2 linked regions of the Alligator mississippiensis genome follow. The protein of the gene in region 1 interacts with the protein of each later gene in a biochemical or structural test. Links are inferred from orthologs where the notes say so. Each region holds a gene or a part of one and is shown on either strand. Other genes may lie near its edges.

Evidence for each region.
Region 2: the proteins of ELN (region 1) and LOX form a complex in vitro, tested with the Homo sapiens proteins (2 studies listed by BioGRID and IntAct). The link is inferred for Alligator mississippiensis from reciprocal best matches to the Homo sapiens genes ELN and LOX.

What each region holds. Positions count from the first base shown.
Region 1 is NC_081837.1:27,776,869-27,784,151, forward strand, and holds the start of ELN (elastin), read right to left. Parts: upstream 3,013-7,283; 5' UTR 2,890-3,012; coding exon 2,811-2,889; intron 1-2,810. UniProt on the Homo sapiens protein: Major structural protein of tissues such as aorta and nuchal ligament, which must expand rapidly and recover completely.
Region 2 is NC_081826.1:220,066,183-220,073,187, reverse strand, and holds the start of LOX (protein-lysine 6-oxidase), read right to left. Parts: upstream 3,005-7,005; 5' UTR 2,774-3,004; coding exon 2,191-2,773; intron 663-2,190; coding exon 554-662; intron 1-553. UniProt on the Homo sapiens protein: Responsible for the post-translational oxidative deamination of peptidyl lysine residues in precursors to fibrous collagen and elastin. Regulator of Ras expression. May play a role in tumor suppression. Plays a role in the aortic wall architecture.

The sequences.
Region 1 (7,283 bases):
GCTGCTTCCTGGGATTGTTGCAGCTGGCAAGCATGAGGGTCCTGACAAGGGAGCAGCCACTTAGTAGACTCAAAAGAACAAGCTCTGAACTAGTAGACTGCCAGTATTCACCCCAGAAAGCCAGGTCCAAGAGCAGCATGCCCACAGGGAGTGAATAAAAAGATATCAGGTCCAGTCAAAGGCTCAAAGCCTGGCCCTGGGCTGCTGTGAGGAGACACTAGGTTACAGGTCCTTGAGAGAATGACAGTTCGGCAAGAAACCTGGTGCAAAGCCAGCACACTGGAGCATGGGCAAACGAGGGCAAAGCACGGGTAAACCTTTTTGGCAGGCATACCACAAGTCAGCCCTGTACCTTCCCCAAGTACCACTCTGATCCTCTTTCCCTACACAGTCTACTGCCCTGATTTTTGCTTTGGACCCTGTCTGCAGCTGTTCAGGGGACTAACTGGCCTGGACCTGCTAGCCATGGGTTTATCCTGCACTCTCCCCAGATCACAACTAGCTGTCGCTGGCATCCCAGGAAGGCACAGGATCAAGAGGAAGCCAGGCATTCCCCAGCACTGGCACAAGGAGTTTCTGGCTGCTGAGAATGGACCTGAAGGGGTTTTCTTTGGGTTGGGAGGAAGAACCACTCAGACAATGGCTACTTCTCCTATACTTAGTCTTGCCAGTGCTCCCAAGCCTCATACTGCCCTGCAAGTGTCCCCTCTCTCCATGCTCACTCAACCTGCCAGTGCCACCTCCTGTCTTTCCCACAGCCCACCCCATTCATGCAGCCCTGCCAGAGATCCCCTCCCCCTCTCCTAGGCAGTCCGTAATAGAGAAGTATTTGAGCAAGATGTTCTGTGTCCTGGGCTTTGTGTAAGGTTATACTATATAAGTGGACGGTCCCTTCTACCTATAAACTTAATGCATCTACCTACTGAGGTACTTTTGTGACTCCCATAAATGTGGTATTGGAGCACACCACAGTCTTCAAAGTCTTCATTTATCCTCACAAGTCCACTGAGAGGTTAGACAGGACTATATCCCCATGGTGTTGAGGCACAGTGGCTAAATGACTTGCCTAAGATCACACAGTCAGTCTGTGGCAGAGCAAACAGTTGAGCCACAGATGCCCAAGTCTCAGGTTAGTTCCTCCACCCTATCTGTGCCCTCTCCCCCTTCACACAGCCCTCCCAGTGCCCTGTCCCCAGGCTCCCTGCAATGAGCATCGAGAGGGACATTCTGCAGTTTCATCCTCTCTTCTGGCATTGATTTTAGGGATCTGAGCACAACCAGGATAATGTGGAATTTGCCTCTCTCACAGTTACATTACACATACACGCACAATGATACCCTCTATGTCATACACACAGTAATACAAATGTTTTGTATTACATACCTACAAATGGTAAAAGTGCTACACACAGGCTCTCCCTACAGACAAACTATGGCTGTCTCATGCTCTCACACACTATCACTGACAGTGACACACGCAGGATGTATCTACTTCTCCAGCATGCATACACACACATTGGCAGAGCAAGTGTTACACACAGCGCTACATATGGGCTGTGTCTTTCATATCCGCATCAAAGGAGCACTGTCAATCATACATACATACCTTGGAGAGATATACACACACAGAATCACACACACACCCAAGTTACACAAAGGGTCATCTCTATCGCACACATGAGCACATGCACACACATACATATACATCAGGTTGAATACAAGTGGGCTATGTCTATCATACACTGACAGTGCTGCTTACAAGTTGTGTCATATGTACAACAAGTAATACACACAAGTTTTATCCTTGTCTCTCACAGTGATCCACATGTGTTGTGTCAGGCTTTGGCAGTGTGAGCTACAAGAATGTGATCTCTTACATGGGTTACATCTCACACAGAAACACTAACACATATTGTGGCTGATGCATTCACTGTCATAGTCACACACTGTGAGATGAGAGTGATACACCAGGGCTGTCACACACACAGAGTAATGCACACATGGGCTATACCAAACACGCACAAGCACACACACACTAAAAGTGATACACACAGCTTCTGTCATATGTATATTGACACTGATAAAGGGATATATATAGACCATGCCACACAAACACACTGAGAGCAACACACAAAGGATGTCAGACACTAAGCATGAAACACACCAGTTATGTCCCAATTGCAGACATAAGTTAACTGATGCACTCTCCTTGTCCCAGTCACACACACAAGCTGTCTGGGTCCGGGCCCATCATGCTGGGAACCAGACAGACCCCTGGTCCCCTGAACTCCCTGTCTGGGGCTGGGAACATGTCTGCCTGTGTGCTAGGGAAGAAGCCATATGACCTCTAAAGTTTCCCTCAATAAGTGCCTCATACCTAGGTAAGCCAGACCCCAGTGCCATCCCCAGAAGCAGGGAGCAGGGAAGATTTCTGGCCAGTGACCCTTGGGTTTGGGACCAATGCTTGATCTGCCCAAGACTTTCCCTGATCACATCTCCCTTGTGCATGGGTAGCAGGGAGCTTTTCTGCCCCAGCTGGGACTGGGACAGACTTCTTCATTCCTCCCCACTGGGTGAGCTTAGCTCCTGGGGCTGTAGATGGGATGAGTTGTTCCGGGGGGGGCAGTGGAAGACAGCCTCAAGCAAGCAACCTGGACAGCAAGCTAAAGAGGCAACTTTTCTGGATGCCCCATTACAGCCCCTGGCAGTACTGTAGCCCAGGTGCCCAGAGGAGTCCCTGAAGGGCTATGCCAGGCTTGCTGTTGAGCTGCCCATTCAGGTGAGGGAGAAGCAACCCTTTCTTTTCTTACCTCCTTGCCAAGAAGCCTGGAGGATGGAGAGGAGGAGGAGGACTCCGGGAAAGAGGGATGCAGCTAGCTGCCTTGCCATCTCTTGAAGCAATGCCCCAGTCCTCTCACAGCCAGTGTGTTTTATCCCAGAGCTGCTTAATTGTTGCTTCCAAGGATGTGAGGGGAAAAGGGGTGGGGGTTGGAAGGAGGGAGGGGAAAGAGAGTGAGAGAAGGGGGGGAGAGAGGCACAGGACACTACGTCATTATAAAAGGGCAAACACATAAGCCTCTCCAGGCGATTGAGCTTTTTTTTCCCTTTTTAATTTTTCTCTCTTGCTGCTCTCTCCAGTTCTGGTACGTCTCTGCCAAAAGAGTGGGGAAGCTGCCAAGAGAGCCTTCAGTGAGAGGAAGGGGGAAGGCTGAGCCTGCCAGAGCACTCGCTCCATCCCCATACCATAATGGCCAGTCCATATATCGCGTGGCCAGTGCCACCTGGGGGCTGCAAGCCCCAGAAGTGACTCTTGGACCTATTCCCAGCCTGTTCACCTCTTCCCGTTCAGCCCCCAGCAGAGGAGGTGGAGGGCTCTGAAGTCACCACTAAGTAGGTGTCTGGGGAGAACAGGGGGAAAGGTGGCGGAAATTAAACATTAGAGTCCCAAGATAAGCTATCTCTAAAGGGTTTGCTTTGGTTCTCTGTGCTGAGTGTCTGCAGCTAAGGCTTTGGGATACTGCCAGCTGGGCCCCTGCTTTCCCTTCTTACAATTGCTAATGTTGTTTGTGTTCAGACATCCTACACCTGGACCGGTGCTTTCAGCTGCAGGGTACCAGGGTCCTGTATGGTGCTGCAGCCAGGGGGAAGGCAGGGGGAAGAGGTATCGAGACCATAGCGTTTAACCCTGCTCTGTCCTGAGTCCCCTTCACTTTATCAGGCTGCTCAGCCCATCGTGTGACAAGGTGCCTATAAGGACATGAGTAGTTCAAAGTGGTCTCTGGTGGGCAGAGGGGAATTCCCATCTGCAGGATGAGCAGGTGAAGGGCACATTTGTTAGATGATGGAGCAGTAGGGCCATGTAGGAAAGGAGGGAGGGGGATGGGGGAAGGGTGGCTGTCACTCCAGGGACAGGGAGTGGGTTACTTGTGGTGCAGGTGAGTGCGGCTGGTCATGATCTTATGAGGTTTTAGCAACATCAGAGAGCCACAGGGGTCCATGGGGACAGAGGAGGGAACAAACAGGGAAGCAGGCTATGAGCAATAGTAACTGGAATGGAAAGACTGGGGGGTGGGGGACGTTGTGTGGTGAGAGGGACAACGAAGGGTAGCGGTGGAGAAAGATCTGGGCTATGGTGCTGGGCTATTGTTGTGAGCCAGGTTGCATGGGGTGGAGGACAATTGAATGAGGGGTGGATGTAGGAAATGTCCTAACTGCTGCAGTCCCTCTGTGTCAAGAACAGATGTCTAATGGGACAGATCATGGAATAAACAGACTGTGCGCCAGGCTGCCATTTCCCTGGCAGCCATTAGGGGGCATCCACAAGGTGTTCAATACCCAGGAATGAACATTTCCCAACACGCATCTCAGGAGAAACCTGATTTTTATGATGAAAATGATCTGTCTGCTGCCCGAAGCTGCTGCTATTTATTTCCTCCCTCCCTGAGTGCAGGGCTATGGAGAGAAGCCCTCTAGACCAGTGGTTCTCAACCTTTTTTGTAGCAATACCCATTTATAAACATCAATGGCCAGTCCTGACCCAGTGCCCCTCACTCCCAACTCACTGCCCCCTGCTCCCAGCCCCCAAGTGTGTGGGGCAGGGTGTGTGTGTGTGTGTGGGGGGGGGGGGGGAGACATAGGGGGCCCCAAGCAGCCCCTTTCAGGCTGTAACGCTGCCAACCTGCAAGGCAAAAGCCACGGTTTCCCACATATTCTCCTTGAAAAGAGAATCCATTTTTAAAGTTTGTTCACAACCCTGTCGTATATTGTTGCAACCCATTTTTGGGTTGCGACCTATGGGATGAGAAATGTTACCCCAGACCCTCTCCCCAAAGGCCAGGTATTCTGGGGCACAAACTGTTGAAGAAATCCACAGGGCCCTTAGGGACATGAGACCATGAAGAGCTGCCATGGGGGAATGAAAAAAACTAGCTTACTTAGTTCCTTCTGAATCAGTGGGGGCCAATCTTTGGGGCAGGAGTGCCACACATTAAGCCTCGCACCCTGAGTGCCACTTAAGTCCCCTTCCCTTGCCCAAACTGTTGCTTTGCTTTTCTGCTCTTTGCCCTATCTGTCTCTGTGTTCCCTGTCCCTTCACTGATCTGCTGCAGGCCACACACAGAGGCTCCTTCTGTCATGTGTAGCACTTGTGCCATGGGTTAGCCAGTCCTGTTCTAAATGATCCAAGAATATTAAGGCTTCTGCAGAGGGCCCCTAAATCAAGGCACCTAGCTGAAGAGGTGGTAGTTAAATCCTTGCTCAAGAAGGCACAAGGGGGTGGGGAATCTCACTTCTCCCTTTCCTGTAGGGAAACTGCTGATAGCTAGGACCCCAGCAAATCTGCAAGGCACTCTGCAAATCTGAGTAAGATTTTTGCACTCTGTTCCTCAAGCATGCAGGGAAACCACTTGAAACAGGCTTTGAGCAAATACTTACAAATACTTACTCCACCTGCTCTATTTTTTCACTCTGCAAACCCACAACTGTGGTGTAGAACAGCTGTGGCTGTTGACATGGGCTGTGGCCACAGAGCAAAGGGCATCCTTCAGGAGGGAGGGCAGGGTTCAGAACAGCAGGGGGCAGAGCAGACTGTAGCTGGCTGGAGCCTGTAGTGGGCTCTTGTTGCTGAATTACATAATGTTTGAGCAAAACTCATACAGTTGTTAAACACAAGCTCTGTGCCTTAACAAGAGCAACAACACATGCTGCATTGAGCGGATGGATTTGAGAGCAATTGAGAAACATTTTCACTGTGATCCCAGATACTTGAATTGCACAGACTCGGCCAACAGGGATGGGTGGCTTGAAACCACCACGAGAAGGAAGGTTTGAGGTAATGTGGAAGAGGGTCTGGAAACATTTCAAGAACACATTCTTTCTGTACATGACTGCAGAGCGTGCGGACCAAGTGAGCTGTACCAGCAAAGTGGCATTATTAGCTGTAGCACCAGCCTTCAAGCTCTCATCCATCAACAGAACAGATTTTGGCAGGACAGTTGAAAGATCACTATGTACCTAGAAAGAATAAAACCAGGAAAGGTTCCTTCCTTAGTCTAGAAACTAAGTAGCCTACAAACTTAAGGCTAAAATGTCAGTCTTATGGTTTTAGCTGTATAAGAATCCTTGATTAAAGATAGGCTGGTAGTGAGCTGCCCAGTTGGGAACCGTTACAAGCCTTTGCTCCAAGATTACAAGCCTTTGCTCCAAGATTGTAACTAGATTGTAAGAAAAAGCTATACAAATCTGTATAGTACTCAAATGGGCAAAATGGCAAGTGCAGGCTTAAGAACAGAGGGCAGTTAGGAAACTATGCGAGCTTCTCCTGAAGTAGACTCTGAAGGAAAAACACAGTTGGAAAGCATGTGAGGAAATTAAGTCATGCAAAGAAAGAGCACCAAGTCCTGGAAGACTTGTGGAACCCTGACAGATGCATGAAAGCTGTCAACTAGCACATCAGTATAGAGATGTTCCAGTATTTGGCCAAAAGTGCAGTCAGCTTCAAGAGGGATTGTTTTGGGCAGCCGTGCAGTCACAGAGAACTTATAAATGCCATCAAGTAATCACATGTTGGCCTTGGGGAGGATGCTCACATACCAGGTGTTACTCATGGGCCAAACCTAGCCATTACACTTAATGCCATGCACGTCATCCATGCTTGAAAATAGGTGCGGACATCAAATTTAGCTTCACAACTGGTGCAACCTGCCAAAGACCTCCACTAATGTTATAAACACATGTCCAGGACTCCCTGTTCCAGCATTGGCATATTGTCGCACACTGACACAGCAATAGAGAAGTCAGAACACCTTTGCCGTAATTGCTGGGGACAGAACACCTGCTCCGCCTCTGGAATTAAGCCACAATTTGTAACTGAGACATAAATTGTTCCCTGTACAATCAAACTGACAGAGAACATTATAACTGAGAAATACACAGATGTGTTCTAAAAGGAAGAGGCATAACAGGCTGTTAAAGAGACATAAATGCTCCTTCAGCCCTGAGGGATAGAATCCAGAAGGTACTTTCAGTTGACATGATAGTAATAGCTCAGGTGCTTATTAGATGAGTGTGCATCTCGTGATAGTAGAAGAGGAACCTGGAGGTTTGTGCTTATGTTGAAATCAGATACTAGCATGAGAAGAAAGCAGTTATCACCCCTCCACAATCAACCCTGTAATCTCAGGGAAAGGGGAATGGGGACATATTTTCACCCTTCTGGATGTACAAAATTTGCTTGGCAAGCTTCCTTCACAAATTTGTCCATTTAAGTCCATTTGATTGGCCTC
Region 2 (7,005 bases), on another chromosome or scaffold:
GGGATAAACTTGATAGCAACGGTTTTGTTTCAAGTTTGAGTTGTTGCAACCATTTTTTAAATGGGTTTAAACCTTACAGGGGTTGCACCATATAATTTTGAATTGCTTACATTGATTACAAAGCAGCATTTCTAAAAGAAATGCAACAGGATCGTCGGTTATTAAGATTGGGGAGGAGCAGGAGGAGAGCTGAAAGGGAACAGATTCCAATAAAAACCCTAGACAAGTATTTTCACCAGTGATGAGTCATTTTGGGGGGCAGTTCAGGTATGCTCCTTTAAGAAGCCTGTTTTTTAGCAAGCTCTTCTCTCCCCCTTCTGAAAAGCAGGCCTTGGCAAGACCCCTAAAGGGAGCTGGGCTCCCTAGTATGAAGACATCCGAAAGCACTTGTAACTTTATAAAATCTTGTGCTGTAGATCTTCCTTGTCTGCCTCTCACCAAGGTTAGAGATGCCAGTCAAGCTAGAGAGAGGGCCTGCTCTCCTTCTGTGGCTGGGAGCTGCAAAAGCACCACTCCCGGGGGAGCAAGGAAAAACATAGCCATAACTGCCTACCTGGCCAGGCAGTTCTCCTCAGCAGCGCACCTCAAGTTGTACATGGACATCCTCTGCACGTACGTGGACGCCTGGATGTAATAGGGATCCGGGACTAAGTCAGGGAGACCTGCAGTGCATCAAACCAACCACACAATGGCAAGGATCAACCCAGGACACGTCTGCAAACAGGGAGCTGCGCTCCCAAGCGTGATGTAGGGGGAGGTCATGTTTGAGCTAAGCTGTGATGGGGGTTGGAAAATTAGGCTTGGAAGAGACTTCGGGAGGCCATCATTCTAGGCCAACCCTTGCTCCGCGCAGGACCATCCCCAGCTAAATCATCCCACTACAGCTTTGTCTAGTCAGGTCTTAAAAACCTCTAGGGATGCAGATGCCACCACCTCTCTTGGTAACCTGTTCCAGGGTAACTGGATCTCATCTGATTTGGTCTCAGTCTTAACCCATTCCCCCCCCACCCAGAACTGAAGGGAGTTGCAGCACCAGCCATGCCCACTGTGCCCCTATTATTGCATGGAGGACTCCTGCCCATTGTGACGTAGGCACAGATCACCTCTTGCCAGCGTTGCCAGGTCTTAAATATGAAATTATTGTATTGGAAGCTCAAAATGATCACATTTGCTAAAAGAGTAACCCATACTGAAAAAATATGCAAATAAGTATGCAAATCAGCCATCATCTTATTTACTTCATTTTGCTCACTGTAGCTAGTGAGTAAGAACTGGGTCAAAGCCAAAGCATTTTTTGATTTTGAGGCAAGCAGTCGTAAGAAAGTGCTGCCAGCAAACCCAAAAGTCAGTTACAACTCCCTTGAGAATGACTTGGGTCCCGTATAGGCTCCATAAGTGAGCTGCCTCAAAAAACAACATGTTTTGAAACCCAGGGGAACCACACTGTCCTTTACCTCCCTTGCACACAATGAAGTTTATTTTCTTTCTGGGTGTAGGTTGTAGCCATGTTGGTCTAAGAACACAGGCAGACAAGGTTCTTTGGGTGAATCTGACATCTTTTATTAGACCAATTAAAATAGTTGGGGAGGGGAAAATTTAAAATGAAGGGTTTTTAAAACCCGAAAGCTTGCTAAGAAAAATGTTTCCAGCTAATTAAGCTGGTCTTATAGAAGATGTCAGATTCACCTAAAGTACCTTGTCTTTTCTAAGTTGCTCTTATAAAAAAAATATCAGATTCCCCTGAAGAACTTTGTTGTTTCTCCCTGGGTGCACTTTTACAATCTTTGAGCTCTCTTCTGCCTAAAGAAGAGTGTTTGGACCCAAGAGCCTGCCAAGAAAGCTACTGTTGTCTGCTACTATGTAGTTGGTCTAACGGGGATCAGGAGAGCCAGGTCCACGTACTGATCCCTGGTAAAATCTCGGAATAGACAAAAACACCAAAGCGCACAACGATCGAGATCCGGACGCTGTTTTTGTCAACAAGAGAGAAGGCGGTGTGATAAAAGCTCTCACCCCTCGCGCGAGTGTTTTGTCCGCTGTTGCTTTTTACACGGACGGGGCCACAAGCTGTCCCCGATCCGACACAGAGCGCTTTCCCTACGCCGGGCCCGCCCAGGGTTGCAGCGCCGGGACAAGCGGGCTCGCCCCCTGCCTGCCTGCCTGCCAGCGGGGCGCGGAGCGGGCTCTTACCATACTGGAAGTAGCCGGTGCCGTAGCCGGGTCTGTAGCTGCTGCCCTGGCGCGGCCTCTCGTACGTGTCGTAGTAGTTGTAGTAGGGGTTGTCGTCCGTGTACTTGTAGGGGTTGTAGGGGTCGTCGCCCACCATGATGTCCTCCCGGCCGGGCCGCGGGGCGCTGGGGGCGCGGGCCGGGGTGGGCGCCGGGGCCGGGGCCGGGGCCGGGGCGCGGCCGGCCGTGCGGTTGGTGCCGCCGGCCCGCGGGCCCCCCTGGTAGCCGGCCTGGAACCAGTGTCGGGCGGAGGGCGGCGTGGCGGCCGGGGCGGCGGCGGCGGCCGCCCGCGGGGCCGTGCGGTTGTTCCGCAGCAGCAGCACGGGGCTGGCGGCGGCGGCGGGGGCCGCGCCGCGCCGGGCTGGCTGGTAGCGCGCGCCCAGGCTGAGCAGGCTGAACACCTGCCCGTTGTTCTCCCACTGGATGCGCTGCCTCCAGGCGGCGGGCGGCGGCGGGGCGCGGCGGGGCTGTCCCGCGCAGCCTAGGTAGAGGCACACGTGCAGCTGCGCCAGCAGGGCGACGGCGGCGGCCGGCGCGGGGCGCATCTCTCCTGCTCAGCGGCGCGGTGGCGGGCGGGCCGGCCGGCTCAGCCGCCGCGCATCGTCCGTGGGGCGGCGCCGGGAGTGCGGGCGGGCGGCGGCAGGACGAGGGATTTTAAACTTTCTGGCGGCTTTGCCCGGTTACACAAGCGCGGCGGCTCTCACGTAACGCGAGCGGGGACGTGCGGCGCGGTCGCTGCCTCCGGGCTGCCCCTCGCGGGCGGGCGGGGAGGGGAGGGGAGGGGAGGGGAGGAGCGCGGCGCGGCGCGGCGCGGCGCGGCGCGCCCTGCCCTGTCCTGTCCTGTCCTGTCCTGTCCCGCGCTCATACACACGCGTGCACACGCACTGGGCTGGGCGAGGGGCGCGCTGAGACGGGCCGCGGCCCGCGCCAAGATATGCAAAGGAAAAATGCTATGAGCTCATCAGAGGGCTCTGGGAAAGCGCGGGGGGGACGTGTTTCTGGGAAGGGCTGCCTGCGCGCCCCCTCGGCAAGTGCCCGGGAGCCCCGCAGCCGCCCCTCACCCGCTGTCCTCAGGCATGAGGAGAGGGGACAGCTCCTCATCAAAATCTCCCTCTTAGTCTCTGCCATCTCTCTCCCTTTCTTTTTCAATCCCCCCTGTTTTGCTCCAGCCTGCCAGGCGGTTTCCCGTCCCCCCCCGAGGCAGGGGGCTCCTCAGCGCTGCAGCCTTTGGCAGGAAATGGGTGAGGGGGCGACGTTGTTGTTGTGAGGCGGTTCCCGGTGAGTCTGTGCAAAGGAATGGGGACTGAGAGGAGCTCCCTCACCCCTAGCGGGGTCCTGAGGATTTTTCCGTCTGACTTGTCACTCCCCAGTCTGTGGCAGGCTGGAATTTCTCCTCTCAGCGCAATGGATTCCAGTCATTCTCTGGACCCTTCCAGCCCTTCCCGGCTCAGGTGTCTGGAGTGCCTGGCAAGGCTGTTTCCAAAGAGATGTGCTGCCTTCTGTCGCTGCCCACGTGTAAAAAAAATGCCTCCTTTGCGGACTTCGAGTCCCCCCTTTGACTCTTGGGCGGAGGTCTGCAAAAAAAAAAAATGGGCTGCCCATCACAATGCCTTACTAAAATCGGAGACACCCCCCCCCTTTATGATTTTCAAATCTTGCAGTGGACACACATAGGGGATGCACGGGGGTGCATGTGCATCCCCTGAGAGCGCTGGTGCACCCTCTGATGGCCAGCGCTCCCCACTTAGGCAATGGGCAGGGGGGCAGGCAGGAGCAATGGTGCCCCCCTCCCCCCCAGCACTGGAGTCGATGGACATCCCTGGCCTTTCTGGGTGCACTACTGGCACTTTGGGTCGGCAGGTGCAACCAGCAGGGGGGACCCCCCTGGTTGGTGCGATTGGCTGTGACAGATCCCCTCCCCCGTTGGCACAATGGGCCGTTTGGGAGCCCCACCCCAGTCGCTGACTGGCCACTGTGGGGACAAGTGCCCCCCCGACTCAGGCAGCACCAGTCGCCCATGCTTACAGGAGGATTTTCATCTTTTATGCTTAGCCCTCCCACCCCCAGCTCCTACATAATTCGAACACTGCTTGTAATGAATATGTTTAATTAGTGTGGTGCGGGGGGGGGGGGGGAGTCCATGTCTTATCCCAGGGCAAACCTTAAAAAAGTCCACAGGATAAGGAATGCTACTACCAGTTTGTCCTGGGACATCTCTGAATGCTGGGATTGCATTGTTGAATCAATGGCAGAAAAGGGCAGTGTATTCAGCCACTCTCTGAACCCCTATTGGAAGGACGATATGGGTACATGCTAATCCTGAGACTTTCCTGTTTTGGAATAAACACAGGCAGAATTGATCCTGAGACAAACATACATCTGTTCCTAGCCCTGGTCTCTTCCTCTGGCACCGTGCAGTTCTTTGTTACAGACGACTTGGTTTGGATTGTTTTGGGCTCTTTTGTGGCCATGGTGCATAGATGGGAGCAGAAGTGATTGCTGTTTTCAGTAACATAATCTAGGGCTGGGCAAACAGGGCACCAGCCCTGGGCACCAATTTAGCGGGGGTATCAGCACTCTGCAACCCCGACTCTCCAGTCTCCAGTGCTCAGTGCAAACCCTGTCCACATCCTGCCACTCTCAGTCTACTCTCTGGTACTTGGCACACACACACACACACACACACACACACACACACACACACACTGTTTTCTGCCCAAGATGCTGAAACTGGTAGTTATGGCTCTGGTTTGTTTTTTGTTTTTTTCTGGACTAACATTTCATTACGTGTTCACTTGCAATTGCAGGAAACTGGACTTGGAGTGGGTGGTCATCTTCAGTTCTGTATGCCATTTTTAAGTAGAATGGTGGCAAAAACTATCCATTTATACTTGGTGTAATAATAATAAGTGGGATTTTTTTATTCACTTGGAAATTTTCCAGCTTTAAATCCCATACCACAACCACTTCCTACCTAACAGATATTTTTACCTTGAGAGTTCCAACTGCCTGAGTGGTCCTGAGATGATAAGCACTATACTAACATGGTAGGTTTTGCCAAGCTGAGCCTTCTGAGAAAGCACAGTAGGTAACTGTTCACTCTCCTTAGATGTAGCAGTTAAGGTCCTGTTAGCTAACTGCTCTCTCATTTATTTTATGGAGGGTTTTTCTTCAAATATTCAGACAGTTTAATTCAGTCCCCTAAGCCTTTTGCATTGTGGTTTCTTAATTTTATCATTCATCTTGGATCTTGACTGGAACAATCACTGACTAAGACTGAAGAAAATGGAAAGTCTAGAGAAGAAGGAAAATACAACACTGAAGAAAATGAGGTCTCTGTCTTTGTAATCTTCCTGTAAATCTTATTAGTGTTACGAATAGCAGGTTGTCTCCTAATGTGTGATATTAGAAAATGTTTCCACACTGGGATTCTGGCCACAGCATTATATGCTTTGCCTGATTAAGTAACTGTTTTTTTCATAAAGCTGAACAAAGCATAGGACAGGATTGCCCTACCAATTTATCAGTCTGTTATATTGTTTATCATTTTTTCCAAAGTACAATTTTGAATTTTCAGTGAATTTCAAGCTTGTGAGTCATAAAAGGCCCTGGCGACAATCCAAGAAACTAAAGTCCTCTGCTTCTAGTTGGGTCTCCACATTCAATTCACTCCCTGTCCACTCTGCAAACATTACCAACTATGCTTTAGAAACGACTAAAATCAGTAGTTTCTTTTGCCGATACCACTAAAAAATATACCACTGACCCTGAGCAAGAGGCAAAAGACTGTATGTACCATTATATATCTCCTAGCCATCCAGTTCCTTCAGCCCCCTAATTTAATTGTGGGAAAATGTTCTGAAATCTAGTGAACAAATAGGTATTCAATAGGGCTGTGCAAAAGTTCACTGGCAGTTTCGTTTCAATGCTGTTTCAACTTGTTTTGAGCTTGAAACAGCAAAATCAAAACAAAATAGAGAGCTTCGAAACAGCCTCGAAACAAAACAAGGCAAATCAAAATGTTTCAAAATTTTAGAAACGTTTTGAGTTTTGAAGCTCAAACTGGGTTTGCCCACAGGGAAACAGAAACTAAAGTAAGGAGAGGGAGGGGAAAGAGAGGGAGGGGGGAGGACTGCTCTCATTATTGACTGTAGCTGGCCAGTGACTGTCATCCTTTCCTGAGGTCCCTTCCAATCCCAGTGCTCGGGGGGGGGGGGAGGGATGGAAAAACTGCATAAAAGGTAGCACTGTTCGAACTGCCCTGCTTTCTGTCTTGGTGTCAGTTGAGTGAGGGTGCACTTTAACACACACACAGTGTCACCCACCCATGTCACAAGTTTTTCCTGTCAGCAGCTAGAGGTGCAGGGCCCCAGAACCCAGACTCCCCCTGCACCTATCTCCTCAACAGCTGGCAGGCTTCATGGCTGCAGCAGGGCCTAGCAGGCTTGCAGTTTTCACCCTGCTGTTCCCCAAGACAGACAGTCCCACAAGCACCCATGTCACTGTTAGATCCCAACTCCATGCAGTGCCCAACAACTAGGGAGATGATGATTCAATTGCTCATGGATCCTGTTACTCATTAGCCAGAGCAAGCAGGGAGGAAACACCAGCACACACCGCTCGCAACAGCTTTATTCAGAATGGAAACAGCTTCAGACTAGCTCCCAAGAAAACAACAAACCGGGGAGCTGCACTGAACATTAGTTCTTTTCACATTTTATACACCTTGGTTCATACATATTAACATTTACTCCACCTATGTGCCTCCTCGGGTTCC